Sus scrofa: one gene and its partners. The protein of the gene in region 6 interacts with the protein of the main gene of each other region in a pairwise test. Links are inferred from orthologs where the notes say so. Each region holds a gene or a part of one and is shown on either strand. Other genes may lie near its edges. The genes, in order: EXOSC5, TMEM8A, PRKAB2, PRKAA2, AQP1, REL and CINP.

Region 1 (4,159 bases), on a different chromosome or scaffold from region 6:
TCCAAATTTTTCTGACCATAACCCCCAATAAGAAATATATTTCAGGAGTTCCCGTCGTGGCGCAGTGGTTAACGAATCCGACTAGGAACCATGAGGTTGCGGGTTCGGTCCCTGCCTTTGCTCAGTGGGTTAACGATCCGGCGTTGCCGTGAGCTGTGGTGTAGGTTGCAGACGCGGCTTGGATCCCGCGTTGCTGTGGCTCTGGCGTAGGCTAGTGTCTACAGCTCCGATTCAACCCCTAGCCTGGGAACCTCCATATGTTGCAGGAGCGGCCCAAGAAATAGCAAAAAAGACAAAAAAAAAAAATTTTTTTTCAGGGAGTTCCCTCTGCAGCTCAGAGGTTAAAGAACTCAACTAATATTCATGAGGATGTGGGTTCGATCCCTAGCCTTGCTCAGTGGGTTAAGGATCCAATGTGGCTGTGGCTGTGGCGTAGGCCAACAGTTGTAGCTCCGATTCAGCCCCTAGCCTGGAACTTCCATATGCCGCAGGCCCAGCCACAAAAAGCAAAAAAAAAAGAATCACTAACGAATGCACATTGGACTCACTGCAGAGCTTTAAAAGACACTGATGCACAGGCCCCTCCCCTCAGAGAGCCTAATACCATTGCTGAGGGCTGGCGCTCAGGCACCGGCAGCCTGTGAGCTCCACAGGCCATTCTAATGTGCAGCGGGGATTGCAACCTGCAGTGGGAGGACACGGAGCTGGTGCACAGCTTCAAAACGCTGGCCTGCAATCAGAATTGCCGCTGTAGTGGATTAAAAAGTGTAGAGGGCCAGACTTAGCTGGTGTGGGTGGGTTCTGAGGCTTCAGCATTTTTTTTTTTTTGGCTGTGCCCACGGCACATGGAATTCCTGGGCCAGAGATCAAACCCTTGCCACAGCTTGGACCTGAGCCACAGCAGTAACAATGCTGGAACCTTAACCTGCTGAGTCACCAGGGAACTCCTGGGGCTCGGAATTCTTAACCTCAGTAGAGATTCTGAGGCCAGGAGCATGTGAGACACACTTCTGAGGGCCTTTGAGGGACTCTGCTCCAGGGTCCTGGGCTTTGGGGTTTTAGAACATGGAAGAGGCTCAGTATTTAAGTGCTAAGAAACTTGCATGAAGGGCAGTCCTCCGTACCTCTCTTTGACCTCCTGTCTCTGCTGCAGCCACTTTGCTCTCCTGACTGCTCCTCAAACACACCAGGCAAGTTTTTGTCTCAGGGCCTTTACCCTTGTCCCCAATGCTTTTCTCTTACTGTCTTGAGGGTTTGCTCCCTTACCTTTAGATCTTTATTCAAATGGTACCATCTTAGCGAAGCCTTCCCTGACCATCCCATTTGAGACTGCACCCCTCTCTGGCACGCCCTATTCTTCCTTCCTGCGGTAGTTTCCTCCATAGCCTTTTACTAAGTTTTACTTAGTTATCACTTGTTTCTCTGATGGAAATGGAAACTCTTCTAGGGCAGGAATTTAAAAACTTATATAAAACAGAAAAAAATATAAAAAAAGAAATTAAAAAAACACAAAAAACCTTTTTAGCTATGATTTCTCAGTGCTTAGAACAGTACTTAGCAAAAACACATGTGTTCAGGAATTCCCGCTGTGGCACAAAGGAATTGGCAGGAACCCTGGCCCAGCGTTGCCACTCTAAGGGCATAGGAAGGACACAGTTGGGGCTTGGATGTGATCCCCAGCCTGGCAACTCCGTATATATAAAACAACGAAATTCCCATTTTGGCTCAGCGGGTAAGAACCCAACTAGTATCCATGAGGCTATGGGTTCAATCCCTGGCCCCGCTCGGTGGGTTAAGGATCTGGGGTTGCCGTGAGCTGTGGTGTAGGCCGCAGATGCAGCTCAGATCTCGCATTGCTGTGGCTGCGATGTAGGCCAGCAGCTACAGCTTCATTTGAACCCCTAGCCTGGGAACCTCCATATGTTGCAAGTGCGGTCCTAAAAAGCAAAAAAAAGAAAAAAGAAAAACAAACAAAAAAAAATCAGTAGTGGTGATTTGCCAGTCTACGAGGTATTTACGCAAAAGAACAGGTTTGCCTCAACCAGGGATAGATGAATCCAGAGTGCATGTGTGGGAGGAACCTAGTCAAGGAGGACTTTTTTTACACGGTGAGATTTCCCCTATTCTGGAGTATTCGTTCTTTTTTTTTTTTTTTTTTTTTTTTGCTCTCTCAGGCCTCACATGGAAGTTCCCAGGCTAGGGATCTAATCAGAGCTACAACTGCCAGCCTACACCACAACCACAGAAACCCCAGATCCGAGCTGTGTCTGCGACCTACACCACAGCTCACAGCAACGCCGGATCCTTAACCCGCTAAGGGAGGCCAGGGATCGAACCCTCATCCTCATGGATCCTAGTCGGGTTCCTTAACTGCTGAGCCACGAAGGGAAGTCCCTGGAGTATTCGTTCTTAAGAGAAGGTCTGCCCCTCTCTCATCCTGAGGCATATTTACCAGAGTGGAGGTATCTTCACCCTTCTATTTGTCTACTGGCATATGCAGTACCATTCACTCCGGCAAGAACTGCATCAGTCCAAGAAGATATTTACCAGCTAACACAATACACTGTACCCGCCCACGAGAACAAATACGACGTGGGTAAATTCTTACCTTGCAGGAAAGAGGCAGAGCCATCGGGCCGGGACAACAAGTTTTGTTCGCAGGCAAAGTGCCGGAGAGTACAGCTGGGGCTCCGAGGGCCAGACTCTGCTCCAGACTCGGGGCGTACCTTGGTTTCAGTCTGCATCGACTCCTCCATCGCCGGGGAGCCCACGTGCAGCAGGGACTGTCGCTTCCGCCCAGAAGCGCGCGCTTGCGTACAGACTGCGTACCCAATGAGCAAGCGCCAACTTGGGTGCGGGGCCCTCCGGGATCCGCGCCCGCACGTGTCTCTGCGTTTACTAACAATCTGGTCCCTCCTACTCCCGCCTAGAGAGTCCAGGAAAGCCATTGGACAGAAGGGAAGAGAGGGCGGGCCTTGGCATGAGCTCGTCCTACCCGAGGCCCCGGGGCCCTGAAACCCTGAAGCCGAGCTCAGTTGCCCTCTGCTTTGCCTGTTAAGAGGAATAACTCCGGTGAAGCGATCGGAGTAATTTGGGGAAATCTGGATTATTTTACCCACCTATATATGTGTCCTAAAGACCGCAGGATTAGTAGCAGGTGGTTTCTTGGCAGAGCGATCCTGGTATTTGAGTCAGGCTCCTGAAGGGGCAGCCCCAGTCTCGCCAAGGAGGGGGACGCTACTCTGAGGTATTAATGGTCAAGATGGCGTTGGCGGTGGCTGTGGCGAGGGTTTGGGAGCGCAGTCAAGGCTTGGGCCAGGCTGGCCTCCTGCTTCTGCGGCGGCTTGGGGCTCGGGGTCTGGCTAGATCTGTGAGTACTGGGGAGGTACCCGAGAAGGTATAGAAATGTTAACTCCTTCTTCAGAGTGTGGCGTCCCTGTAGGGAGTACATGGAGGGCGGTTGAAGGGAGAAGGGCTGCAGAAACATCTTGTAGCGGACCCTCAAGGGAAGAAGTTTCACTTCCTTAGGAGAGGCAAAGCGGGACAGCTTCTTTGTGGACCCTCAGGGAGGAAGACAACGTGGAGAAAGTGAGGGAGGGCGTTTCTTATTAGTTGCCACCAATGCCCCGGGGAGGCCTCTTGGAGGACATGGGGGGAAAGTGTGACCTTTCTCCTCAGGGGTTGGAGAGTGAAATTGCGTTTACAAAGGAAAGATTTTCTTCTTGGGAAAGACTCCCCCTTCCAAGAAGAGAAGAGAGAGCAGATACCCCAGCACAGGCTTTTATAGTGCCTTTTTGCTTCAACTCTGGTTTTTTTTAGTTTGTTTTTTTACTTTTTATTGGGGCATCTGCAGCATATGGAAGTTCCCAGGCTAGGGGTGGAATGGGAACCGCAGCTGGGGGCCAACGCCAGATTCTTAACCCAGTGAGCGGGGCCAGGAGTGGAACCTGCATCCTCATGGACACTATGACCGGTTCCTAACCCACTGAACCACAACAGGAACTCCTGCTCTGATTTTAAAATGAATCGTGTAAAAAAGTCGTTTGATCCTGGGTCCCCTGATGCAGTACCTGGCTGTTGACCTTGTCTGTCTTGATCATTACAAAGGAGATGATTAGTAAGTATTTGTTCAGCTAATGAGGGTGGACGAGGAGGGAGA
Region 2 (4,289 bases), about 40 Mb from region 6:
CCACCTCTGTGGCTCCCTGGCTCCGCTACCCCCACACTCCAAACGTTTGCCCTTGCAGCCCACTTGGTACTTGGTCAAGCCAGCCTTTGACAGCCGACTCTGAAGGCCTTCCAGGACTCAGCTCCGAGGCTGATCAGGGCCCTCCTGGGAGTGTCCATTAACTGGCACAACTGGAGCACATATCCAGGGCCCATAGCATAGGTACCTGCCCCTTGAGTGGGTGACAGTGCCAACCTGGCGCCTACCCAGACCCTCCCTCTGGGCCTCCCACAGAACAGGTGCCCTGTGGGCTCTCTGTGTCTTGGGGGCGGCCGACCAGGCCTGGGGTCCAGCCACGAGGCGCCAGGGCTACTTGGCAGAAAACACGGCCTTGAGCTCAGTGTGACCATGGCTGTCCCCTCCTCTCTCTGGGTCCCAGCTTCCTCGAGAGTTAGCAGTGGCAGCAGTCAGCACCTCCCTCTGGGTGCCCCTCCGTCCATGGCTAATGGATGCACTTGTGCTTCCTGAACAATGGACTGTGGACACAGCAGGGTGTGGCCTCCATCTGCTCCGAGCAGCAAGCCCAGGGTCCCTTTAGGTGGGCGGGGTGAGTAGGTGAGGGAACCAGGCGAGCCGCTGGCTTTCCTGCCAGCTTCCTGACCTTCCCGTGGAACCTCCTTGAGAAAAGACAGCAGCCCAGCTGCAAAGCCCGTCTGAGCTTTGAGGAGCCCAGTAGGGGCTGGGCAGGGCTAGGTGCCACACAGGACACACTCCAGGCTCTGCAGGTGTCTACTGGCTGCCAGGCCGGGAAGACTAGGAGCCACTGAACAAACTTCCTCTGAGGCGGCTGCACCCACACAGTCCATGGTCACAGAGCCTTGGAGAAATAGCCAGCCTACCGGGCACACAGCTTAGAGATGGGGCTGTGCGAGGGAAGTCACGCTGCAGTGTGCCACCCCTGATCCGAGAGGGGGCCGGGCCTTCTGGGCCCCCACCAGCCCTGGGTACCTGCCACCCAGCTGGTAGCTGTGAAGTCTCAGCAGGTGCACAAGAGATAAGAGAGGTCACTCTAGGACTCAATGGCCCCCCACTCCCAGGGCCAGAGCCCCTCCGGTACCCCACCCCCAGGTCTGCAGCTCCACCTCCCTGCCCCAAGACTTATCTCGGTGAATGTACCAGGCCATCAGCACCCCTAATGCATGCTGAGCCAGATGTGGAAGTCACATTCCTGATATCAGGGAGCACCGGCCACACCACACACACCTGCTCTGTCCATGGCCCCCTCCAAGGACACAGGGTTGGGGGAGGAGAAGGTCCCTGAACCTGTCCTGGGAACCCTAGGGAGGACACCCTGTCCCACACCCTCCAAACCAGGACAGGCACCCGGTGCAGAGACCCTGCCCACCCACAGACCCCAGAAGCCGGGATCACAGAGCTGCCTGCGTCTTCAGCAGGCCTGGGAGCTGAGGGGCTGCCCCAGGTTTTCCATCTCTGTAAACTCCCCACCAGTGACCGCTCACCTAGCCCTCACCCTGGAAAAGGAGAAATTAAGGGTGGAGCTACCCAATGGAACGAGTTCATCAGGGCCCGATCTTGGGGCAACTGCCTTTCATTTCAAGTGGTGCCAAGCTCAGAACCCAGAGGCAGAGCCCTCAAAGAAACAGGAGCCTGGAGGAGCAAGATTTCGGAGAAGGGGGATGGCTGGGCGCCAGCCCCAGGCTGTGGTAGATAAGCTGCCTACTGCCCAGCGAGGGCATCTGGGCCCTCCCAGCCCCGCCAGCCCGGGCCACGTGGCCTCATCGAGTCCAAGGCCACAGGAGTCAGGGGGTTTCCTCAGCATCCTCAGGTGTCCTGCGGAAGCCCAGCGGTGGCGCCTCCTGGTCTAGCCACCTCCTCGGGCCTCCGTGAAAGGGAGTGAAAGTTCCCAAGCAACGCAGAGGTGCCCATTTCTCAGAGCCACTGGGGCCCACCCGGGGCCGCGGATCCGGGAAGCCCAGCCTCCCACAGGCAAGGCCAGCTGTGCAAAGTGGTTGGGGGTCGCTTCGGGAGGGGTGGGGCCATGACACCCTCCTGGGCTGCTTCTCCAGGGTCTAAACAACTTTCTCCGGCCTCTGTCCCTCTCCCCACCAGCGGGAGACCGCGGAATCCCACTGCCCGCCTTTCTTCCTAGGCGCTTGGCTCTCAGCTCTCACACTCCCAGAAGGGACCCCTCAGCCGCTCCACCTCCGCCTCCCAGGGCGCGACGGTCGCGCCCGACCTGAACGCGTTGGCAGGAGGAGGAAGGGAGGGCTGGCTGGCTCCAAGGTGCCCGTGAGGCCGAACCCAGCCCTCGAGACAGATCAGGGGGCGCGAGCGTGCTTTCCACCCGACCGCTCTCACACGCCGAGCCCCACTAGGGGCTGCCCAGCGCCCCCAACCCGGCAAGAGGACCTGGGCCCAACACCCGTGCCAGCTGAGTGCACAGGAGCCCCCAGGTGAGTCACAATGCAGACCCCGCCCCCGGCCGCCCCACCCCCACCTCCACGCGCCCCTCTGCCCGCGACCCGGGGACGGCGCCCGCGGGTCCGCGCTCGCTCACCGCTTTTCGAGCTGTCGCCGGCGGCGGCAAGCGGGGGCCGAGCGAGCAGTAGCAGCAGAAGCAGCGGCCCGGCCACCGCCAGCGCCGCCGCCGCCGCCACCGCCGCCGCGCGCCCGGCCCGGGTCCCAGCCCGGCCCATGGCTCCGCGCTCGGCCCCGCGCTACCGGGCCCGCGTCCCCGGCCGCGCACCCCCGCCGCCGCCTGGGCAGCCACCGCCGCCCCTGCGGCCGCCGCCGCCGCCTCTGCCCCGGGCTCCCATCGTCCGGGCTGGTCCCAGCCGCCGGCGCCCCGGGCACTTCCGCCTGCGAGGCCCCGCCCCGCCGGGAGCCGGGCCGGAGAGGGGCGCGGGGAGGGCGCGGAGACCACGGTCGGAAGGCCGGGGGGCCGGGGGCCGTGCTGGGACCGGGAGGGCGCGCGAAGAAGATGGGTGGGAGCGAGGTCGCGGGCCGAGGGCGAACGCGGACCCGAGACCGATCGCAGGTGGGGGAGGCGGGGCGGGAGCAGACGAAGGGTGGCGGGACCCTTGGGGGCGGAGGATGGCGCGGGACGCAGGCGGCCGCGGGGGTCTCGGCTCAGAGGGGCCTGTTAGTGGGGCGCGAACTGGGACGCGCAGGAGATTGGAGGCGGCGGCCGAGCGCCCACATCCTTCCTGGATGCGCTGGGTTGACCCCGGGACGAGAGAGCCTGCGGGTCACTGAGCCGTGGGCAGGGCGCCGCGCGAAGTCCAGCCAGCCTGCGCTCCCTCCCGCCTCCCAGCGCGTCACACCGCAAACGCGCTCCAAACGTGCGTGAAAACCGCACTGTCACGGAAAGAGGAAAAAGACTCCGGTTTATACATCTTTCGCACGCTACCACGGTGGCGATTCTCGTTGGACGGGACTCACTCCTCAGCCTTGACGGCGGCGGCAGCAGCGTAGATTCCAACAGATGAGGGAGTTCAGCGTGGAAAGGAAACGATGGGGCCTCCAAGGAAACTCTTGCACAGTCTGGGGGAAGTGAAGGCTTTTCTAAATGTGACGCTGGACACGGGACGCAAGGCCTGAAAATCAAAGTTTCCTGCAGAGCAAAACTCCCATCAAGTCAAAAAGCAAGCCAGCCACGGGAGGACGACCGTGCCACTCACATCCCAAAGGGCCAATCTAAATGCGATTGTAATATAGAGTTCCCACAAACAAGTAAGAAATCCCAACTCTCCCACAGGAAGTGCCCAGAGAACACTGAGAAGGATATGCAAACGAACGGCTCCTTCCTTAGAGAAATGCAAACAAGGAAGCCCGGAGAGGGCTTTTTTCTTGCGCCGAACACCTCTGCAGAGATGAAAAAGTTTGAGCCTGAGGAAAGGGTGGGATTGGGTGGCGGGCTGGGCTGGGTGGAGCCTCACTCCATCTCCTGCTGTGCATTTGTTCCGCCGGGAGCGCTTGCACGCCGGGAGCGCTTGCACGCTGGCGCTCAGGGCGGGGGCATTCGAATCACCGTCCACAGGTGGAGGTTCAAAGGCTGGGACATGATAAACCCGGACGCCCAGGGCTGTGAGAGGACGACTGGGAATGAGCTGGTCAGGGCCTCCCAAGGGGCACTTTTATTTTTTTTTTATTTTTTTAAATTTTTTTGGTCTTTTTGTCATTTCTTGGGCTGCTCCCACGGTACATGGAGGTTCCCAGGCTAGGGGTCCAATCGGAGCTGTAGCCACCGGCCTACGCCAGAGCCACAGCAACGCGGGATCCGAGCTGCG
Region 3 (4,170 bases), on a different chromosome or scaffold from region 6:
TAAAAATGGCAGAGGTAGTCTACCTTCTGTACTGTCTCTCCATATTCCTCAAAACTACACTACGAGACACCAGTAGCAGCATAAATCCAAAGTAAACAGAGAAAAAGAAGGGACTTCCACGTTATATAAGGAAATGGCTTAGAGAATTTTTTTTTTTTTTTTTTTTTTTGTCTTTTCTAGGGCCCCACCCGCAGCATTTGGAGGTTCCCAGACTAAGGGTCTGATCAGAGCTGTAGCCACCGGCCTACACCACAGCCACAGCAACGTGGGATCTGAGCCGCATCTTTGACCTACACCACAGGTCACAGCAACACCAGATCCTAACCCACTGAGCAAGGCCAGGGATCGAACCTGCAACCTCATGGTTCCTAGTCAGATTCGTTAACCACTGAACCATGACGGGAGCTCCTAAAAAATCTTGATCTCCATTTTCTCAAAGCAATGAGTTCTTGCTTGACAGGCTGCATTAGAATTAGAGAAATTTTTACATATGCCTAAGAATTACAAATGCCTCAGATTCTGATTCAAATATAGGGTCTGGGAGTCTATTCTTAAAAAGCTTTCCAGACAATAACACTGTGATTATGTTAAAAATAAAGAAACCTCATCTCTAGAAATGTATCCTAAAATACTAATAAAGTAATATTTGATATGATAGTCTGGAATTTGCTTCAAAATAATTGGTGAGGGTAGAGTGGATGGGGGTATATAGGTGGTACAAATTCATTCATGATTTGATCATTGTTTAAACTGGATGACAACTATACAGGAGTTCATCACACTGTTCTCCCTGCTTTGAAACATGGACAGTGTTTCAAATTTTCCATGAAGTGTTTAAACAAATTCCAGCCTATTCTAATTGAGAACCAGTAACTAGTCCACTGAAGAGGATGGCCCCACTGCCACTGTTTCTATCATTTACTTGTATGATTTAGTATTTTCAGTTTAGAATTTGAAAGCTACAAACTATTAATATGCTTAGCTTTGGAAGAAAGCCCTTCCACGGATAACGTGACATTTCTGTGGCAGGCATGAGTGCAGCTGACTAGCAGAAAGATTGTTTACTCCAAGTTCAATAGTCAGCAAAATCTTCAGGAAAAGTGGCAAAATAATTACAACTACAATTGAAAAATGTTTAAGTGAAACATTTAGGGAAGAAATAAAGAGAGCACATTGAGTATAAAATCTTAGATTCTGAAGAGACTTTAAGAATTATCTGAATCCATTTTCTTATTTCATGAATAGCAAGACTGAGGTAAGGGAAAGAATGATCCAAATAGACTCCATTTCAAATAGAGCAACCTGCTTTTATTCAGGATGCCAGTTACTGCAGTCACCATTTGACAAATAATACATTACTTAGATCCTGAGTCATCAATGTAGGGAAGTGGGTACAAAGCTTTGAAAGAAAGCTTTGAAGAATTTTGAAGAAGTTCAGATGGCTGAAGAGACAGCCCAAATGTTGAGAAAGAAGTCCCGAAGTGGGAAAAGAAAGGAATGGAGGAGAAACACCGAGAAAACATCTTCACTTCTTTTTGTGATTATGTTCTCAGTTGGTACTTGAAAAAATAAACTGGAGAATCCATATTTCCCACGCTATCAACCTGGCAAATTATTCTCTCTTTAGGAAAGTAAATAAAATAAAACCCCACACTGGTAGGAAGGGATAAGTGACAAGAAACATCAAACAGACCCCCCAGCTGCTCAATCTGTTTTTCTACTTCATTTTATTCTACCTGGAGGAATTAATGTATTTAATGCCAGCAGCTCTAAAAGGGATTAGAAACATTCAGGTGGTAATCACATTGCTGTCAGCTCCAACTTTGCTTTTTGTGGGGTGAATACAAGTTTTCTCCTCCCTGAAACAAGTCCTTGGAATTGAGAACAAGGTCTTCAAGGCTGCTGTGGATTGTTCGTTTTCAGCGGTGGTAACATGATGAAGTACTACTGGGAAGTGGAGAAATTCTGGAATTAACCTGCTCTGGCTCTTGAGTAGCGGCTGGAAGAAAGAAGCAGCTCAGCCACCATAACTATAAAGTATGAGATGAAAATGAGCAGTCCACCAAATGATGTCCTTTGTTGACCCCCACTAGGAGAAATTATTCAAATAAGCACGTGGTTGCCACTCACAGCCATGCCAAAGGGGAAAAGGGATCTGAAATGCTGAGCTCTCAGAAGAGCAAAGATGATACTCAGACAGAGAAGCTGTCAGGAAACAGAAATTCATTTGCCCACCTCAGGGCAGATGAGAGAAACGGCCACCTAAATGTGGCCCTCAGGTAATCCACCCTCCCCAAGGCCCACAACCTACAAATTCATCGATACCCTAGCAAAGGGTACCCGTGTCTGTTGGGAGAACCAAGAGTTAGGTCTGTTGTCCTCATCCGAAAATGCGGCCAGCAGAGGAGTCGCCTAACAAGAACTCCACCTCCGGGCTATTTTGAGGCAGCGCGGCGAAAGGAATGATCATTCAACATCGCAGTCCCCGAGAGAGCCTTTAGTTCCCAAAACCATAACTCAGGTCAGTGTGATAAGAAAGAAATCCCCAAACGGAGGAGGAGCCCCGACACCCACCCTGCTGCAGCCTCGCCCCCCGCTGGGGGCGTGGGAGCGCTCACCTTGGAGTCGGGCAGGCTGAAGAGGCTGGGGTCGTCGGTGCTCCCCACCATGATCTTATGCTCCTTGCCCGGGGCATGGCCGCCCGCGCCGTCAGCGCGAGCAGCCTTGGCGCCGTGGCGCTCCCCGGCCACCCGCTCGCTGGCGGTGTTTCCCATGGCTGCAGCTCGGAGTCGGGGGCCACCTGCCGTGCGGAACACAAGGCTAGGAACACCCCGGCGGCTGCGTCAGGAGCACCCCCGGCCCCGCCCCTGTGCCTGGGGACCCGGGCAAGGGAATCCCCGCCCCAGGGAGGCCGTGCCCGGGGGACAACCTCCCCCTCCCCGGCCTCCAGAAGCGCCCGGAACCCCCAAACCCCCTGGTTGCCGGCGGCTCAGGAAACTCGCTTTCGGGAACTCCCCCTCATCCCTGCGCTCACAGTCCAGGGGCGCCCGCCCCCGCCCAGTCACCTCCTGTAAATTCTCCCTCCTCCCGAGGCCAATGGTGCGATGGCTGTTCCGCTGAGAAGCCACCAATAAAGTTATTGAAATTGAAGCCGCGCCCGGGGCTAGCGAGCCGCGGTTCCTCCTAAAATGGCCACGAGGCCAGCGGCGCGGTGCCCGCCTAGCGCGCACTCCCTGTGGCCGTACCACCGCGGCGCCCGGGGCCCGCCGGCCTCTCTAGCCACCGCCGGCTCGATGGTGGGCAGCGGCGCGCAGCCTCCAGGGCCACGCGGGGGCGCCCGCTCCGCAGTCCGCGGCACGCAGGGCTGAGATCGCTTCACTGGCGAGGCTGTGCTGAGACTCGGTTGGTTGAGCCCCAGGGCCTGCCCTCCGGAGGGGGTGGTCCCCGAGTGACTCCAGGGCTCCGTACCCAGAGGAGCGACTTTGCCTTTCTTTCTTATGTTGTCTTTCTGGGGGGCTTCCCTGAGAGGTGGGTTTCTACAGGAATCAAGAAAGCGGGCTTCCAACAGAAGGCTGAGGAAGTAGTGGTAATTGCTAAGTGCTGTGGGAAGCAGTCAGCTGGACTGGAGCCGCGGGGAAGGAGGAGTGATGAGGAGATAAATCTTGACAAATGGTTAAACTTCGTCTAAGGAGAAGGAGAAAGCCCTGCAAGGCTAAGAAACAGCACTTGGTATGAGCAACCCCTGAAGAAATGAAATTCAAGAAAGAATGGAAACATCAGAAAGAACATTAAGGCAGAAACGGGCAGCGACAGGCCTCAGGTTGTGACTCATTCACGTTTTGAGTGATAGTTAATGAGATTGCTATGGGATTTACTCATTCTTCCTTTGTGTTATTAGACGCACGCATGTTTCATGACCTACTGGAAGCTCTTGTCACTCAGCCTGTGTTCTAGTGAGGAGCAGCATGGGCGTCACCTGGGAGCTTGTTAGACATCCTGAATCTGAGGCCTCATCCTACAGGATCAGAATGTGCATTTTAAACAAGATCCCCAGGGGAATGTGTGTGTGCATTAAAGTGTAAGAACCCCTGCTTTGACAGCTGGCAGAGAGCAACTCTAGGTTTGATTCTTCGTCATAGTCTTGCTTGTCCCGTGAACAGACTAAACTCA
Region 4 (2,727 bases), on a different chromosome or scaffold from region 6:
AGAGATTTTCCACATGTCTTCGATCCTTTTCGCTTCACTTACACTTTTAGTTAAATCTAGGTTACTTAAAAACCAGTACAGAAGACCTACCCACCATGTCTTTGAGATGGTTTTAACATCTTGTCAACTAGTGCCAAGTTTTATCTTCTCAGAGTTCATGCCTGCGTGGCTTCCTTACCATCAATGCTTTTAAAGTCCAAAAGATAGCTTCTATTGTCAACCAGGTACAACTGTAAGCTCATTTTCACATAATTGCCAGTCACTGGATTTTTTCTTCTTACACGTAGATGGTATGCATTCACTACCTAAAACGGAAATTTTTCTTTAAGGGAAAACATTAAAAATAAACTACAAAATACCTTATTCTTATTGAAAAGAATAATATTAAAACAAGTAACTGACAGAGGTAGAGCAGAGATGGAATTCCTGAATTATCTTTTTTCTTTTACATTACACAGTAGTTTAGTATTTAATCCCTACCAACAGTACTATATACAGCAATTAAAATTTAAAGGGAATGCAGAGATTATATGGAGTCCAGCATTCTTTCCAGATGTGCCTCTACTCTAAATAATCTTCGTTGCCCATTCTCAACTTGGATACCTTTACTAGGACTATAAGCTAGACAGAGACCTAACATGTTAATGGTTTAAACCTGGCACAGTAACAGGTACTGTCACAAAATTGAAGTATCATAGTAATCTTGCAAGGAAGATATTTTCTTTTGAAGATAATAAAACAGCAACTCAGATAAAGATTCTGCTTTTTCAAAACATCAAATTATTTACAAAATGTTTTCAGTAAGGAATTTTAAGACATTAACATCTATTTTTAAACTAACTAAATAAAACCATTTCAGAAAAGGGAGATCTGCTTTTTAAATGGTTTTAAGGAAATATGATTTTGTTTATTCATTCCATGTACAAATAACGAAATAAAAATATGTCAAGTGAATATGTACATGGTATGTTTGAACATTTTTCTTCTGTTAAAAATACATTCCAGTCCTCAAGAAAGGAACGAAAATAAAAGATACCTGAAAAGGAAAAACTGCCCCCCATATACTCAAATAGAATTGAAATGCATTTGAGCACTAATAAAAAAGTAAAATGTGGACTGAAAAAAAAATATATCACAACTAAGGACTAAAAGCACTAGCCAAATAAGACAGGCTTTCTCAACTTACAGAAAAGTATTTGTCAACTCAATAAATATATCCTGATGGTATAATTTGTACGAACCACTTGTTGCTACAGCTATTAACAAAAAGAAAAAAAGAGAAAGTAAAAACATACTATCTTTGAAGACACATGACTTTTTTTCTGATGCATGCTGAAACAGGTAAGCTATTTTCTCAAGAAATTTCAAGTTTATTAAAACTCTTTCTTGGCCAAGAATGCTATTCTATAATTCAAAAATATATAGGTCCCCAACATCAACGGTTCTTAATCTTTACAAAGATTTATTTTGTTTTGAGTGTACATGGTACATTACTAGAAAGAATGGGGTTTATTAGCCAGAAGCATCTAGACCACTAAATTCATATATAAATCAAAACCAACTTTTTTATTGACCACAGTACTCAACTCAGCAGCTCACTATATATCAAAGGGCTTCTACTAATGATCTTCATATACTCCAATCTCCTACCTTCCATTCAAAATCCAGCTGCTTCATAGCTCGGTAAACTTCAGCCATAATGTCATATGGTTTGCTTTGACTTCGAATCCCAAGATGCCACTTGGCTTTTTTCACAGCTAAAGATTTGGGCTTGGTTGTATTCAGTGCATCCAATGGACATCTTGCTTTAGGGCTGTCTGCTATAAGAGGTGGCATCCTTTCTGGATGAGGTTTCAGGCCTGGGGGAATATGCATGGCACTATCATCCATAAAAGAACCAGTTGGGGGACTAGAGGCGAGGTAGAACTCACTGGCTTGGTTCATTATTCTCCGATTGTCAATGACAAGATGATAAGCCACTGCAAGCTGGTCTTGAGGGTCACCACTATACAAACTGTTCATTACTTCTGATTCTGTACACTCAAATTTTTCACACACTTCTTTCACAGCCTCATCATCAATGACGTTAGCATCATAGGAGGGGTCTTCAGGAAATAAGTAACTGGGCAAATCTTGTTTAAACCATTCATGCTCTCTAGGAAAAATACCACAACACACTATTGTAAGAACATGCTCTGGCAAGTCCCAAATAATTTATGTACAATGTAACAGAATCAGAAAGATGTGATCTCTAGGCACTCACTAGCTATGTGACCCTGGGTAAGTAAGTTAACCTCTGCTCTTGAATATGATGATTATTCAGACTTGGGTATGTGGCTGCAATTTCCTCAAAAATAAAATGAGCTTGTCATTCGAAAGGAAACAAGTGGCAAACAACTATTTGATGCCAATGATAAAATTCAAGCTTTAAAGCAAAATCTTAGAATTCTGTATTATTTGTACATGTCTCTATGAGTTTGACAGCTTCCCAATACATAAAAGTTTTTTTCTAACTTTATAGTGAAGGTGATAATAAACATGATTTGATATTATATAATGAAATGGGTCACCATTTGGAAAATCAGTCTACCTCAATAACTCAATATTTTCCATATGACCAATGCTTGATGTTACAGAATCATACATGAGTAAAAGATCCACTTGAAATAAAAACAAGACCAGTGGATTTTAATGTAATAAAGAATAAAAGTTTGAGGTCGTTAAAAT
Region 5 (4,038 bases), on a different chromosome or scaffold from region 6:
CGGGAGCCCTTGGCGGGGATGCTTTCTCTGTTTGTGCCCTGCCAGACCCCAAACTTCCACGGTGTGGACAGGGCTGCCCTGGGTCCCGCCACAGTGCTCAGTGCCCTTATGCTTAGCACGGCCCCTCTTGGGCTCCCCTTAGCCAGACCGCCCTGGGAAGAGTGATAAACTCAAGACCTAGAGTGAGCATGCTGGTACTACACATGTGGCCAGGAGATATCCAGAGACCCAGGTCCCCTCTTGGAGCCTCAGGGCTCTCAGCCTCGGGGAAACCCAACAAGCTGGTAGGATCCAGGACTTGAGTCTAGGCTGGGCCCCACACGATGCTGTCCCTTTTTCTCCCCCATCTGCCACCCGCCTGGCTCAGGTATTGGGGCAACTCTGGAAAATGAAGGCCAGAGAGGGGACGGGACACTGGAGGAGGGCGTGGCCAGATCAAGATGACACAGAGGAGCCCGCCCTCCCACGTCTGCCTGGGATGGCCAGCTTAGAGACACCTGCCTGCCTGGTCCTTGAGACAGAGGGTCAAGAGGGGGCCGAGAGGCCTGGGAGACTCAGCTTCCCACCAGGAGGACCCTATCCCCACGCCCATCCTGCCCAGCTAAGCCCCAAGGTGATCCCAACCCTACCCGGCGGGCCCTCCCCGATGTTGCCCGGCTCTGCCCCCGCTGGAGAGATAGACCTGGAGGGACGCAGCCTGCTGGAGCTCTGTCCCTCACAGCCACCATGCCCACCTCTTTCTCGACTAAAGTCTAAACTCCAGTCTACAGGGCTAATCTTCAACCCCGGGTTGGGTGAGGTGTCACTGTGGCACAAGAAGTGCTAATCCCTCCATGGCAGGCTCATGCCAGCTGCCCTCCGCACCGGAGCTGGCCAAGCCTCCCCGAGCCGCAGCACCAGGAGCTGAACTTTGACTGGGAAGCAAGAGCTGCTTCTCTGATCACCCCCTGCGGTCTCTGCAGGGCTCTTGGCCCCTCTCTTACTGTCCCCACACCCGCCTGCCCTGCCCAGGCCCTGCCAGCCGACACCCCACCTGATCCCTTCTCTCTGCTCCCTGGCCTCGCTCCCTCCCTGTGGCAACGCCCCCTCGGCTGCGGTGTTCTAAGACCTCCTCCAAGCCCTACCCAGACTCTCAGGCCAAATCTCCCCCTGCTGTGGCCCAAGCCAGGTCTGAGTTTGCACTTGGCTGAAGGTCTGGAAAAGCCCAGGTCTGCGACAGCAGGCAACTGCCGCCAACAGCCAATTAGCTGTGCTAAGCGGCCCAGGAGGAATTCTTTTCTGCAGCTGCCGCTGGGTCACCCACATCTGCTTATCCTGAGTGCCCCCAGGCCGGGCCCCATTTAGTCTGAGAGCGGTGGGCACACGCAGGCACATACTCGCCCCCACACATGCCTGCCCAGCAGTATAACGGGCTCACAGACACAGACACGCTTCCAAAAAAGACTCACACAGGAGTGCCCAGGTTCCATGGGCTCGGAGACCCATGAGGGTGGCCATCCATGCGCGTACACGGCTCACACCCACCCACACACCACACCTCTCAGTGCCCGGCCACCGCGAATGGACCCAGAGAGGGGGTGAGAGGGCCCTGCCCCGCCCCTGCCCCTTGCTGTAATCCAAGAAAACCGCCTGCACACTGTCCAGACAGGGTTTTCACCCCCATCTTTGTCCCCCACCTGGGGCCAGAAGAGCAAGAGGAGCTTTTTCCTTCAAGGCAGTTGGTTTGGGGACCTGTGCGAATGTGGGGCTGCTGGAGCAGCCCCAGGGGAGTCCTGCTCACACTGTCACGGACCCACACACATGCCCGGCCTGTGGTGCAGGGAGGCGGGGGACAGCAGACAGAGTTTCCCTGGGGTCCAGGCCGCATGGGGAGGCAGCTGCTGCACAGGGAGGGCTTGGGGTGGAAGGGAGCAAGAAACCAGGGTGAGGAGCTGCTGGCCCAACCACTAGCTGCCTCCAGAGCTTATTTCCCATAATAGAGGCCCGCAGGGGACACTGGCAAGACCATTACGCTCTGGGTCTCCGTGTCCCACAGTGCCTGGAAGAAAAAGGGCTCTGGACCCAGGCACAGCTGAGTTCCAGGTCAACTGAGCATGACCTCCAGCAACCTCTCGTCCTCTCTGTTCCTCAGTATCCCCATCTGCACAGTGGGCAGAGGATGAAACCGGCGGCATCTCAGCACCATTCTAGAGCCCCGGCGCCTGGGACCACCCCACTCACCGAGTTCAGGCCAAGGGAGTTGCCGGGCAGGGAGGAGGTGATGCCTGAGAGGATGGCAGTGGCGACGATGGCCCCCACACACTGGGCAATGATGTACATGACAGCCCGGAGGACACTGATCTGGCAGCTGAGCAGGAGCCCCAGCGTGACGGCCGGGTTGAGGTGGGCGCCGCTGATGTGGCCCACGCTCTGGGCCAGCGTGGCAATGCTCAGCCCAAAGGCCAGCGACACCTTCACGTTATCCTGGGCCGCACCTGAAGTCTGGTTGTTCCTCACGGGGTACTGGAAGCCCAGGGCAGAACCGATGCTGATGAAGATGAAGAGGGTCATGGCCAGGAACTCGGCCACCACCGCCCTCCAGAAGATCTTCTTCTTGAACTCGCTGGCCATGTTGGCAGGGGGCTTGGCTTGAGACGGCTGCCTGGTGCTCGCCTCTCTCTGAGAGCTGAGCCACAGCCGGGGCTGGGCCTATTTATAGGGCCCCCCCGGGGGGGGGGAGCACAAAGGGAGGAAGGCCTCTCCTTGCTCCTGGCCCGCCCCACACTGCACGGGCCTCCTCTCAGCGATGGATGCAGACACAGCTCTGCTGTCGGCCTGCCAACTTTTTTTCCCTTCCTCCTCTCTCCCCTCCCTCCCTCTCTCCCTCCGCCCTCAGCCCTGCCCAGCTCGAGGAGGCAGGCAGGAGGCAGCGTTTCTCTAATAGGCTTTGAGAAATTCCTCCAAGTTGGCCCCACTCAGGGGGCCAGAGAAATCCAGGTGTCCCTGCCCTGTGTGCAAAGCGCAGGGGGTGCCCGAGGGCAAAGCCAGGCGCTCCGGATGGGGCGGGTGAGCGGCTAGGTTCAGCAGGTGGACGTTGCCCTCCTAGAGGCGGGCACCATGACCCTGCTGGTCTGCCATCCCCATCCAACCCCAGAGAGGCCTGAGTCTGGAGTCCACAGGTCCAGGGGTCCCCAGCGGCAGTCTGCGCCTCCCATACCTGGCCACTAAATGTCACCATAGGAATGTCCCAGAACCCTCAGACCACCGGCCAGGCCTCAGTTGATGGGGACACAGAGGCATCAGGGGGTACAGAGAGCTCATCTACAGACCACCCCCCACTCTGTGGTCCAGGGCAGGCCTGAGACAGGCTAGGATGCTCCCTACTCTGATTTGAGCGAATGATCTTGCGGCAGCTGGGGAAGATGAGGGCAGGCAAGGACTTTCCTCTCGAAGCCTATGAAGCTGGTGGACCACTGGGGAGACAGGAGGAAGGGCAACCTGACCGGAAAGCCCCGGAGGGAAAGGGGAGGAGAGAAAGGGGGAAGAGAGGTGGGAGCACGAAAGGGAGAGGAAGAGACACCGGGGCCCAGAGGGGAAGAGGCAAAGGAGGCAACGAGAGGCAGAGAGACAGAGGGAGGAGGAAGGACAGTGGGATGTGGAATCAGCCGAAGCAGAAGTGAAAGGAACAGATCCCCAAACAGTGATAGGGAGACACTGGGGACTGAGAAGGAGAGACAGAGACAGCACAAAGCGCGAAAGACCACTGGAAAGAGGGGACACAGGACTGGACCCAGAGGTGAGAATCCAGAAGAGCAAGAGGAGAGAGCAGAGGGGAAAGGGGAGGGACCGGACACTGCCTGGGGCAGGGGGAGGGAAGAGGCAGCTCTAAAGACCATGCCCGCCCCCCACCCCGCCCCATAGTCCAGCCTTGCGCCAAAGCCAGAGGCCCAGCGGCAGCCAGTGAACTGAGCAGGAACCTGGACTCCTGGGCCGGAGGCTGGTCAGGAACCCCAGGCCCAGGCCACCAGGCTGCTGCAGTGCGTCTGCGGGGAAGAGGAG
Region 6 (4,165 bases):
TCCTAAATTAATTGTGTCAGAAGACTGGAATAAGCAATAAAGACAGCTTAACAGAACCTGAACTATGAACTCCTAAATAATCTGATAATTTAGTTGAACAAAATTTAGAATGAAACATTCAAAGTCCCAGTTATTTATGGTACTTTTATAATTTTGCTTATGAGATTATGATCTGCTACTTTCACGTTAGAGATCACACATTCAACTACACACACCTATTTACATATGACATCCGGTGAGAAATGAAGAAATGGCCTTAAATGCTTGGTAATCAATAAAAATACTTTTTGAGGTTTTATACTACTTTAATACACACTCTCAACTAGACAAGGATGAACTAAGCAAAAGGTTTTCTTGGTCCTCTTTTAGTTAAATTACTGTTAAAAACAGGGATGGTTGTTTATAACCTTTTTCTGTAAGGTCTTTACAAGTCATTAAGGAAAGTACACTCAGACTCCTTTAAAAAATTTTTTGTTTTGCGGTTTTCAAATAATTGAATTACAATTTCAATAACTTCTTACGTTGTGAATAGTGCATTTTGATGCAAGCCCAGTAAAGAAAGAAAAAGATAATTACCCTACAGCTCTCCTTTTCTTTTAATTTCTTCCCCTTCGACTTAGAGAATCAGTACACACAACAGGACAAAACAGTGTCATGAAACAAGTTTAAACGGTATCACATTTTTGAATGATGTAGGTTTTACAATACTCTATGTGAGTGGCTAATTCTTTTCTTTCTTTTGAAATAATTATTACATTCATGCCATATATCATAAAGTTTGGTTAAACTGCCGGAAGCCTGGGGTGTTTTTTGTTTGTTTGTTTTATACCTATAACGCTGGCCATTCTTTAACTTTCATACAAAATCTTTCTGATGATAAATTAACCAAATATTTTCTGTCATCTTTGCACTTTAAATCTAACATGCTTTGAATTTATGAATTTACAAGATTATCTGGAAGTCTGGGGTCACTGAAGTAGATGAAGAGAAAGTTGAAATATTTTAAACTACATTTGTATTCTCACATGAAAACCACAGACAAACTGAAATCAAATGTCATGTGAACCACCCCAATTTCCTTTTCAGCCTACAGCAGCAGCTATGGGTTTGTTCTGCTCAACCCTTTAAAAAAAAGTCCTTTATGCTCTCTACTTCCTCTTCTCTTCTAGTCATCAGCCCTCCGAGGGTCACTGAACCAGGCAGTTGGGAGGATGTGGGTCAAGCATAAACAAGTCTCCCTCTTCAGCCTCCCGGCACCGTGTTAACGCACTTTTAGGCTTCTGAGACTTTGCTCTCGCTGCTCCCTCTGGCGGGAAAGCGCCCCCCGGCCCCCCACCCCGAACCTTGCCCAGACTCCAATAAAAGTCCCACTCGAATTCAGTCTACTTGATTTGCTTGCCTCAGGTTACAAGCCGACCTAAACCATGGCGGGATCTGAGGGGCCCTCCCTCATCCTTGAAGCAGTTTCTTGGTAAACTCGGTTCCCCAAAGAAAGAGATTCACATTAAGTATTAACTATAAATAAATATTTGCTAGTTTATAAGTGATAGAAAGTTCTTTTCATGCTTCATCATATTTTAAAGCACGGAGATGATAAAACAAAACAAAATAAAAAACCGTCTTTCCCCCTTCTTTCCAAAAAGGAAAACAAAACTCGACTTCTGTTTTACAAGTTAGTAGGCACTTCACAGTAAAAATGATCCACTTGGTTGAAGCAACTTTTCCACCTACTACCTATTAAAATACCACTGGTAATTTTTAAAGCCTCACCGCATTTTGCCCAGCTGTCAGCAACAACAGCAATCACCTCTCAGCAACTGATGAGATTAAACTAAAAAGAGCTCTCCTGAGGTCGGAAGGATCCTCCTTCCTGTTCTAAAACGTAAAACCTCCAATTCAATAATAAATCAATTTTTAAATATGAGGATTTCGTCTTCCTTCATTCAGATTCTTCTAACTTCCCTAATCCAAGACCCAAGTCTTTGGGAAGTTCTAAGGTTCCGACGACTACAACGGCATCAAATTACAGAGCTTGACTTTGATTTCACACACAAACCCCGAACTCTGTCACTTTTTCAAAAGCTTGACAGTTTGCCAGCGTCGAGTTTAAAGACACAAAGAGCCACAACCAAAACTGACCCCCCGAAACTCTGAGCAGCAAGACCCTCGGACCCGCTCCTGCCCTCCCGCTGTTAGAGGTAGCCCGCGCGGGAACACACTCACCCGAGGCCATGGCTCTGCTCACCGCGCCGCCCTGCTCCGAGCGTCCGAACCGGAGGCCGCCGCAGTCAGTCAGTCCGGCGGCCGAGGGACCTCTGCCAGCGGGATCCCCAATCCCCTTGACCACCCCCGGGACCTCCTCCTCCTTCCCGCCCTCCTCTGGGTTTGCGGCTCACACCTTCCCACCCGCTTAATTCTCGCGCTCGGGTCACCCGGCGTCGCCAGTCCAGGCTGCGGGAGCCAGGGGCAGGGGGCGGAGCGCAGCAGCAGCAGCAGCAGCGGCAGCCCAGCTCTGGCCGGCCCGAGAGGCAGGCTGCCCGGCGGGAGGGGAATTTCCCCTAGCTGACGTAGGCCCCCTACACCGCCGCCTTCCCCCGGGAGGGGGCGGGACGCCTTGAGACTCGCGCGCGTGCGTCGGCGCTGGGCTGCCCCGTGCCCCGCCCCCTCCCCGGAGCCCCCAAGGGCTTGGGATCCAGTTTGGGAAGCGGGAACGGGGGACCTTCGGGAGCGCAGGGAACGCTGGGACCCGGGAGGTGACTTCCCCCAGCGTGCGAAAGCTGTTGGCTCCTGAGAAATCCCCCTCCTCCAGGATGTTCTTGGGCGCTTGGCTTAAAGTTCAGGAGCAGGTGGGAGGGTGCGGTGACGTCAGGAGGGCCGACCGCCGGCAAGCACTTAGGGGTGGGCCGGGCGCGAAGTGGGGCCGGCCCTCCCGGGCTTGGGGGGGTTTTCGATGGGTGGTTCCCCTTCTTGCACACGCAAATCTCCGCCCCCGCGCGGGCTGGCGGCACAGCGCCGATGTACCCGAGCGCCCTCGAAGGGAAGTGCGGAAGCCGCGGTAGCCGGTGCGCGGTCGTAATTCATATATTTGCATACGGAGACCCCCGATCTTCTTCCTTTGCCTGTCTAAATTGCGAGGGCTCTGTTAACGTACTTTACAAACTAAAACTTTTTAAGCTCTTAGGGTCCGCAATGTGAGTTCGTTGCCTGATGTTCATTGTGCTCAAGATTAATGTGGACACTGCCTTGGGACTGGACAGAAATAGCCCGAGGAAAGAGGGAATGTAACGTTTAGTATACTAAAGGAATCTAAGTTTACTTTGTTTCCTTACTGTGTAAAGGACCTAAGTGTCAGTTTAGTTGCCTCGTTTGTAATGTATTATTATCCTAATTTGATAGGTGAGGCAATCAGGGTTCAGAGACGTAACTTGTCCTTATTTTAGAATGCTAGTAAAAAGAAAAGCACAATTTAAATTCAGGGTTGTCTGACTCCAAAGCTCCAGGCTCTTTCCACTATCCTTTGCTGCCTAAAATAAATATGGAGGAGTAATGGAAAATAGTCTGCCATACAGGTGCCAAAACTGGGGGATCCGGTTGGGGAAATAATTAAAATCTCCTGCCACTCCCAAAATATCCTCTTCACGAAATAAAGTAGAAAAGAATGAAAGTTTTATTATTGAATAAACATTAAACCATACTGTGATGCGTTAAGACGATTGCAAAGACAAAAAAGAAATCTCACTTTATATAATCAGACAGGTACAATCAATTACAAACTTGTCTTTATCCCAAGGAAAAATAATAGGAAGTTACATCTTGGAGCTAAAAGCCAGGGTTTAAACTTCTACAGAAACAGGGAGATGGGGCAACATCCTCCTTGATGTTCACATTTCCAAGAGATAGCTCCAAGGCCCCAAGAAAGATCTTAAAGGGGCACAAAGCTATAAGAGGCTTGTTTAGCTTGCTTGCTTGCTTTTTTAGGGTCCCACTCACAGCATGTGGAAGTTTCCAGGCTAGGGGTCAAATTGGAGCTGCAGCTGCCAGCCTACTCCGCAGCTGCTCAAGGTACCAGATCCTTAACCCACTGAGGGAGGCCAGGGATCAAACCTGAGTCTCATGGATACTAGTCTGATTCATTATCGCTGAGCCACAAAGGGACAAAGGGAAC
Region 7 (4,027 bases), on a different chromosome or scaffold from region 6:
ATTTTATTCCCAGATTCGGCCCATGCTGGGATGTGGGCTTGGGAATTTCCAGAGCTCCTTTCCTTAAAGTTTCCAAGACCTTGGCTACAAGGTGGAAGTCAATTCCCAGTGCAACTCATCACGCCAGCAGACAGGTGTGTGCCCAGGTTAGCAGCCCACACTCTCTCTGCCAAACAAATGTTAACAGAAGCAAGAGAACAGAATGAAATTCCTGAGTCGCGACGAAAAAGTGAGGAAGAACGGGGAGCAGGGAGGAGAAATGCAAGTACAGTACGTGGGCGGCGTTCACTGAAATGTACCGCGCGTGCCAGGCGCCGTGCCGAGCAACTCCCAAGCACCGACCCATTTCATCCTCCCACCAAGCCAGAGCGAGAAACTATTACCAGCCCCATTTCGCTGATGATGCAAGAGAAGTTTAGGGAGACATCACTTACCCCGAGCGCACAGCTAGGACGGGGCAGCGCTGTGACCCGGGTCTGACTCCAGGGTACCCCACTCTTTAACCTGCACTAACTATTCTGCCTGAGGCCTTAAAGCAGGACTGAGAGAGGAGTCGTCCGTTCACCCACTTGACCAACAGCTCCTGAGCACCTCTGTGCTATGGGTATGTGCCAAGGCCTGGCCGGACGCGGGAGGGGTGCGGATGAAGGGACGCGGGCTGAGGGTCGGGGGACAGGCGCCACGTCAGTCCCAAGACCGCGGAGCTCGGGGCCTCGGGGCAGAAGGGAGACCAGGGTGCGGCAGAGGGAAGGGACGGCGGAGAGGGAGGAGCGAGTGCAGCCGGGGCGCGCGGGGCGGAGGGCTGGCGGGAGGTGTCGGCGGGCCGGGGCGCCCCGGAGGGATGGGCGACCACCGCTCCCCTGGGCAGACCTCCGCTTCTGCCAGGCAGCCAGCCCGGCGCTTCGTGTGCCAGGGCATTCGGCCACCGGGCGCGGGCGAGACGGGGACCGGGAAAGGGGGCAGTGCGACCCTGAGGTGCTACAGGGGCGACCGGGAGGCCGAGGGGGGGGCGCGGGGCTGGGCGGCGGGGTCAGGCGGCGTCGCGGGACTCACCTCCCGCGGCGGCCCCTCCGGACTCGTCGGCCCAGCCGGGCCGGAGGAGGCGGGGATGGACTCCGGGCCGCGGGGACTGCCGGGAGCCCGTTTCCAGGGCAACGGGGCCCGCACCGTCGAGCGGCAGGCGGCTCCGCCGCTGGCTAGAGCGGCAGAGGAGCAGGAGGTGGCAGACGGGGTGGAAGTGGCGTCGGGAACTTCCGGCGGACGTGGGCGGGGCTCGGAGGTCTCTTTCCTGGGATCCCTGCGGATGGCATGGAAGGTGCGTGAGAAGGGCCAGTTTCCCCAGGCGGGCAGGGCGTGAGTGTTTTGGTTGGAGCTTAGTCGGTACTCCGACGGAATTCACAGTCTAGTGAGGAAGATGCTAGACATTAAACAAAAAGATACGCTGCACTGATGAGTGTTGTGATGCCAAGTTAAGTACAGGGTATTCCAGGTATTTCGTGCAAGGAGTCCTAACCCAACCTGGGAATCCAGAAAGACTTCTGGTGGAAGTGACTTTCTAAAAACCGACATTAGATCACGTCATTTCCCTGCTCAAGGCTTGCTGCTGGCTTTCCATGACTTGGAATAAACCCAGACTTCTTTTCTTGGCCTGTAAGGGTCTAGCTGCCTGGCTGCCTGCTCACCTACTATTTCCCCTCTCTCCCTCTCATTCTAACCGCCCTGGTCCTTTTCTTTTTTTACACACACTAAGCTCATTCTCACATTACGCCCAAGCTGTTGACTTCTCATCATTCAGATTGCAGCCTAAATGACAGTCTCTCGGGGGTTCACCCTAACACAGGACCCTGTTTTATTCTGTGGGGTTTATGGTCTAAACTGATGCTGACCATCTAGTTGTTATCCATCTCCTCTCTGGAAAGTAAGTTCTGTGAAAATGGCCCTGGTCTACCAAGTTCAGTCGCTTCATTCCCCATGCCTGGCATGATGTAGGCACTCAGCAAAAGCTGGGTTAGTTGTATAAATAAGGAGTGAATGAGTAACTGTAGATACTGGATATAGAGCTTCCAGGCTGTCTCCAAGTGCTGATCTCCCTGAATCCCCACCTGTTCACCAAGCTGGCAGCTCCCAGAACTCTTTGCTCTTGGGTTTTGATGGAGGCTTCATTCCATAAAGAGGGTCGATTAAATTATTTACCACTTACGACTGATCCAACCTCCAGTCTCTCTTCCCTTATTGGAAATGGGGGTCGGGGGTGGGGGGACTGAAAATTCCAACCCTCTTAATATCAATATGATGTTTAAAAGGGGAACCTAGATAAGGATGGGGGCTGGTTGTCAGGGGAACCAATCATGTGATTAGAGAGCGCTGTACCCCTTCCTGCATATCTTGCCCTAAGCACTTCTCTGTCTGGCCCTAGTAATCTAATAGGTAAAATATTTTCCTGAGTTCTCTGTGAGCCACTCTAGCAAATTAATCAAACCTTGTGGAGGGGCTATCTTTGGAACCTCCGATCTATCAGAGATTTCTAGTAGGTCAGAAGCACAGACCTAGATCTGGCCGCTGACATGGAGAGAGAGGGTAAGAGTCTGGTAGGACTGAGCAATTAGCTTGTGGGATGCCATCTCCAGGTAGCTGGTGTCAGAATTGAGTTTATTGCTTGGTGGTGGTGGAAAAACCACACTGGAGAGGCCCTTGTGATAACACATGCTGTGTTGGGTACTTGCTGCACGTCAGACCCTCACAGCTTAAATATATTATTTAATCATTGCAACAGCTCTATGTAGTAGATCTGTTTTACCCCCACTTTACAGATGGGTACTTTGAGGCTCTGAGGGGTTAACTAACTTACCCAAAATTGCACAGCTGGCTGTGACAGAGCAAGTATTTAAACCCAGTCTGTATGGTCTTCAGAGTCTAGACTCCAAACTATATAAACTGTATCGCCATTGTGTGTCCTGGATTCCGTAAGTGGCCTCTCTCAGAATCTGGACCTTATCCTGTGGGCCATGAAATACTTTTGAAGGATTCCAAGTGGAGAGGATTCGAGGCAAAGGAGGGCCCGGGTGTGGGAGGTGCCCAAACAGCCTGAGTTGGCTTATTGTGGTCTGGGGGTTGCTTCCCGCAGGAGCTGGGACCTGGGTGAGTCCTGGGGTTTGGGCAGCCTTAGCCAGAGGAAGGAAGAAGCTTTCTAGCAGAGAGAACTACATGTGCAAGAGCCAGTGGGTGGGTGATTCAACTTCAGAGTTGCCAGTAGGAGTTCCCATCGTGGCGCAGTGGAAACAAATCCAACTAGGAACCATGAGGTTGCGGGTTCAATCCCTGGCCTCGATCATTGGGTTAAGGATCTGGCCTTGCCATAAGCTGTGGTGTAGGTTGCAGGTTCAATCCCTGGCCTCGATCATTGGGTTAAGGATCTGGCCTTGCCATAAGCTGTGGTATAGGTTGCAGACTCGGCTTGGTTCTGATGTTGCTGTGGCTGTAATGTAGGCTAGCAGCTGTAGCTCCAGTTGGACCCCCTAGCCTGGAAACCTCCATGTGCTACAGGTGCAGCCCTAAAAAGCAAAAAAAAAAAAAAAAAAGAGTTGCCAGTAGTTGCTCTTAGCTAGAGATTGCGGGGGTTCAGGGTGGGGGTTAAGATGGGCGCTGAAGCCGAGAGGGAGCCAGGTCCTGAGTTTTTGTTTTTTTTTTTTTTTTGTCTTTTTGCTATTTCTTTGGGCCGCTCCCGTGGCGTATGGAGGTTCCGAGGCTAGGGGTCGAATTGGAGCTGTAGCCACCAGCCTACGCCAGAGCCACAGCAACTCAGGATCCGAGCCGCGTCTGCAATCTACACCACAGCTCACAGCAACGCCCTATCGTTAACCCACTGAGCAAGGGCAGGGACCGAACCCGCAACCTCATGGTTCCTAGTCGGATTCGTGAACCACTGCGCCACGACGGGAACTCCAGGTCCTGAGTTCTAAGCACGGAGATCATCACTGCATCTCAGGTCCGGCCCGGTCAGTATGTTGGAATGTCGAGCGCTGATAGC

What was found.
Region 1: the proteins of REL (region 6) and EXOSC5 interact in binary tests that used the Homo sapiens proteins (3 or more experiments, as listed by UniProt). The two-hybrid records come from large-scale screens. The link is inferred for Sus scrofa from reciprocal best matches to the Homo sapiens genes REL and EXOSC5.
Region 2: the proteins of REL (region 6) and TMEM8A interact in binary tests that used the Homo sapiens proteins (3 or more experiments, as listed by UniProt). The two-hybrid records come from large-scale screens. The link is inferred for Sus scrofa from reciprocal best matches to the Homo sapiens genes REL and PGAP6.
Region 3: the proteins of REL (region 6) and PRKAB2 interact in binary tests that used the Homo sapiens proteins (3 or more experiments, as listed by UniProt). The link is inferred for Sus scrofa from reciprocal best matches to the Homo sapiens genes REL and PRKAB2.
Region 4: the proteins of REL (region 6) and PRKAA2 interact in binary tests that used the Homo sapiens proteins (3 or more experiments, as listed by UniProt). The link is inferred for Sus scrofa from reciprocal best matches to the Homo sapiens genes REL and PRKAA2.
Region 5: the proteins of REL (region 6) and AQP1 interact in binary tests that used the Homo sapiens proteins (3 or more experiments, as listed by UniProt). The link is inferred for Sus scrofa from reciprocal best matches to the Homo sapiens genes REL and AQP1.
Region 7: the proteins of REL (region 6) and CINP interact in binary tests that used the Homo sapiens proteins (3 or more experiments, as listed by UniProt). The two-hybrid records come from large-scale screens. The link is inferred for Sus scrofa from reciprocal best matches to the Homo sapiens genes REL and CINP.

The regions. Positions count from the first base shown.
Region 1 is NC_010448.4:49,378,948-49,383,106, forward strand, and holds the start of EXOSC5 (exosome complex component RRP46), read right to left. Parts: upstream 2,801-4,159; 5' UTR 2,757-2,800; coding exon 2,609-2,756; intron 1-2,608. Other genes in the region: BCKDHA (2-oxoisovalerate dehydrogenase subunit alpha, mitochondrial), read left to right, coding at 3,254-3,370. UniProt on the Homo sapiens protein: Non-catalytic component of the RNA exosome complex which has 3'->5' exoribonuclease activity and participates in a multitude of cellular RNA processing and degradation events.
Region 2 is NC_010445.4:41,318,418-41,322,706, reverse strand, and holds the start of TMEM8A (transmembrane protein 8A), read right to left. Parts: upstream 2,801-4,289; 5' UTR 2,697-2,800; coding exon 2,558-2,696; intron 2,454-2,557; exon of another isoform or gene 1,705-2,453; intron 1-1,704. UniProt on the Homo sapiens protein: Involved in the lipid remodeling steps of GPI-anchor maturation. Lipid remodeling steps consist in the generation of 2 saturated fatty chains at the sn-2 position of GPI-anchor proteins (GPI-AP).
Region 3 is NC_010446.5:100,377,174-100,381,343, reverse strand, and holds the start of PRKAB2 (5'-AMP-activated protein kinase subunit beta-2), read right to left. Parts: upstream 2,801-4,170; 5' UTR 2,775-2,800; coding exon 2,619-2,774; intron 1-2,618. UniProt on the Homo sapiens protein: Non-catalytic subunit of AMP-activated protein kinase (AMPK), an energy sensor protein kinase that plays a key role in regulating cellular energy metabolism.
Region 4 is NC_010448.4:155,692,518-155,695,244, forward strand, and holds part of PRKAA2 (5'-AMP-activated protein kinase catalytic subunit alpha-2), read right to left. Parts: intron 2,156-2,727; coding exon 1,651-2,155; intron 306-1,650; coding exon 179-305; exon of another isoform or gene 91-178; intron 1-90. UniProt on the Homo sapiens protein: Catalytic subunit of AMP-activated protein kinase (AMPK), an energy sensor protein kinase that plays a key role in regulating cellular energy metabolism.
Region 5 is NC_010460.4:42,073,942-42,077,979, forward strand, and holds the start of AQP1 (aquaporin-1), read right to left. Parts: upstream 2,801-4,038; 5' UTR 2,611-2,800; coding exon 2,221-2,610; intron 1-2,220. UniProt on the Homo sapiens protein: Forms a water channel that facilitates the transport of water across cell membranes, playing a crucial role in water homeostasis in various tissues.
Region 6 is NC_010445.4:80,909,434-80,913,598, forward strand, and holds the start of REL (proto-oncogene c-Rel), read right to left. Parts: upstream 2,801-4,165; 5' UTR 2,234-2,800; coding exon 2,224-2,233; intron 1-2,223. UniProt on the Homo sapiens protein: Proto-oncogene that may play a role in differentiation and lymphopoiesis.
Region 7 is NW_018084979.1:1,150,398-1,154,424, reverse strand, and holds the start of CINP (cyclin-dependent kinase 2-interacting protein), read left to right. Parts: upstream 1-1,227; 5' UTR 1,228-1,308; coding exon 1,309-1,315; intron 1,316-4,027. UniProt on the Homo sapiens protein: Component of the DNA replication complex, which interacts with two kinases, CDK2 and CDC7, thereby providing a functional and physical link between CDK2 and CDC7 during firing of the origins of replication.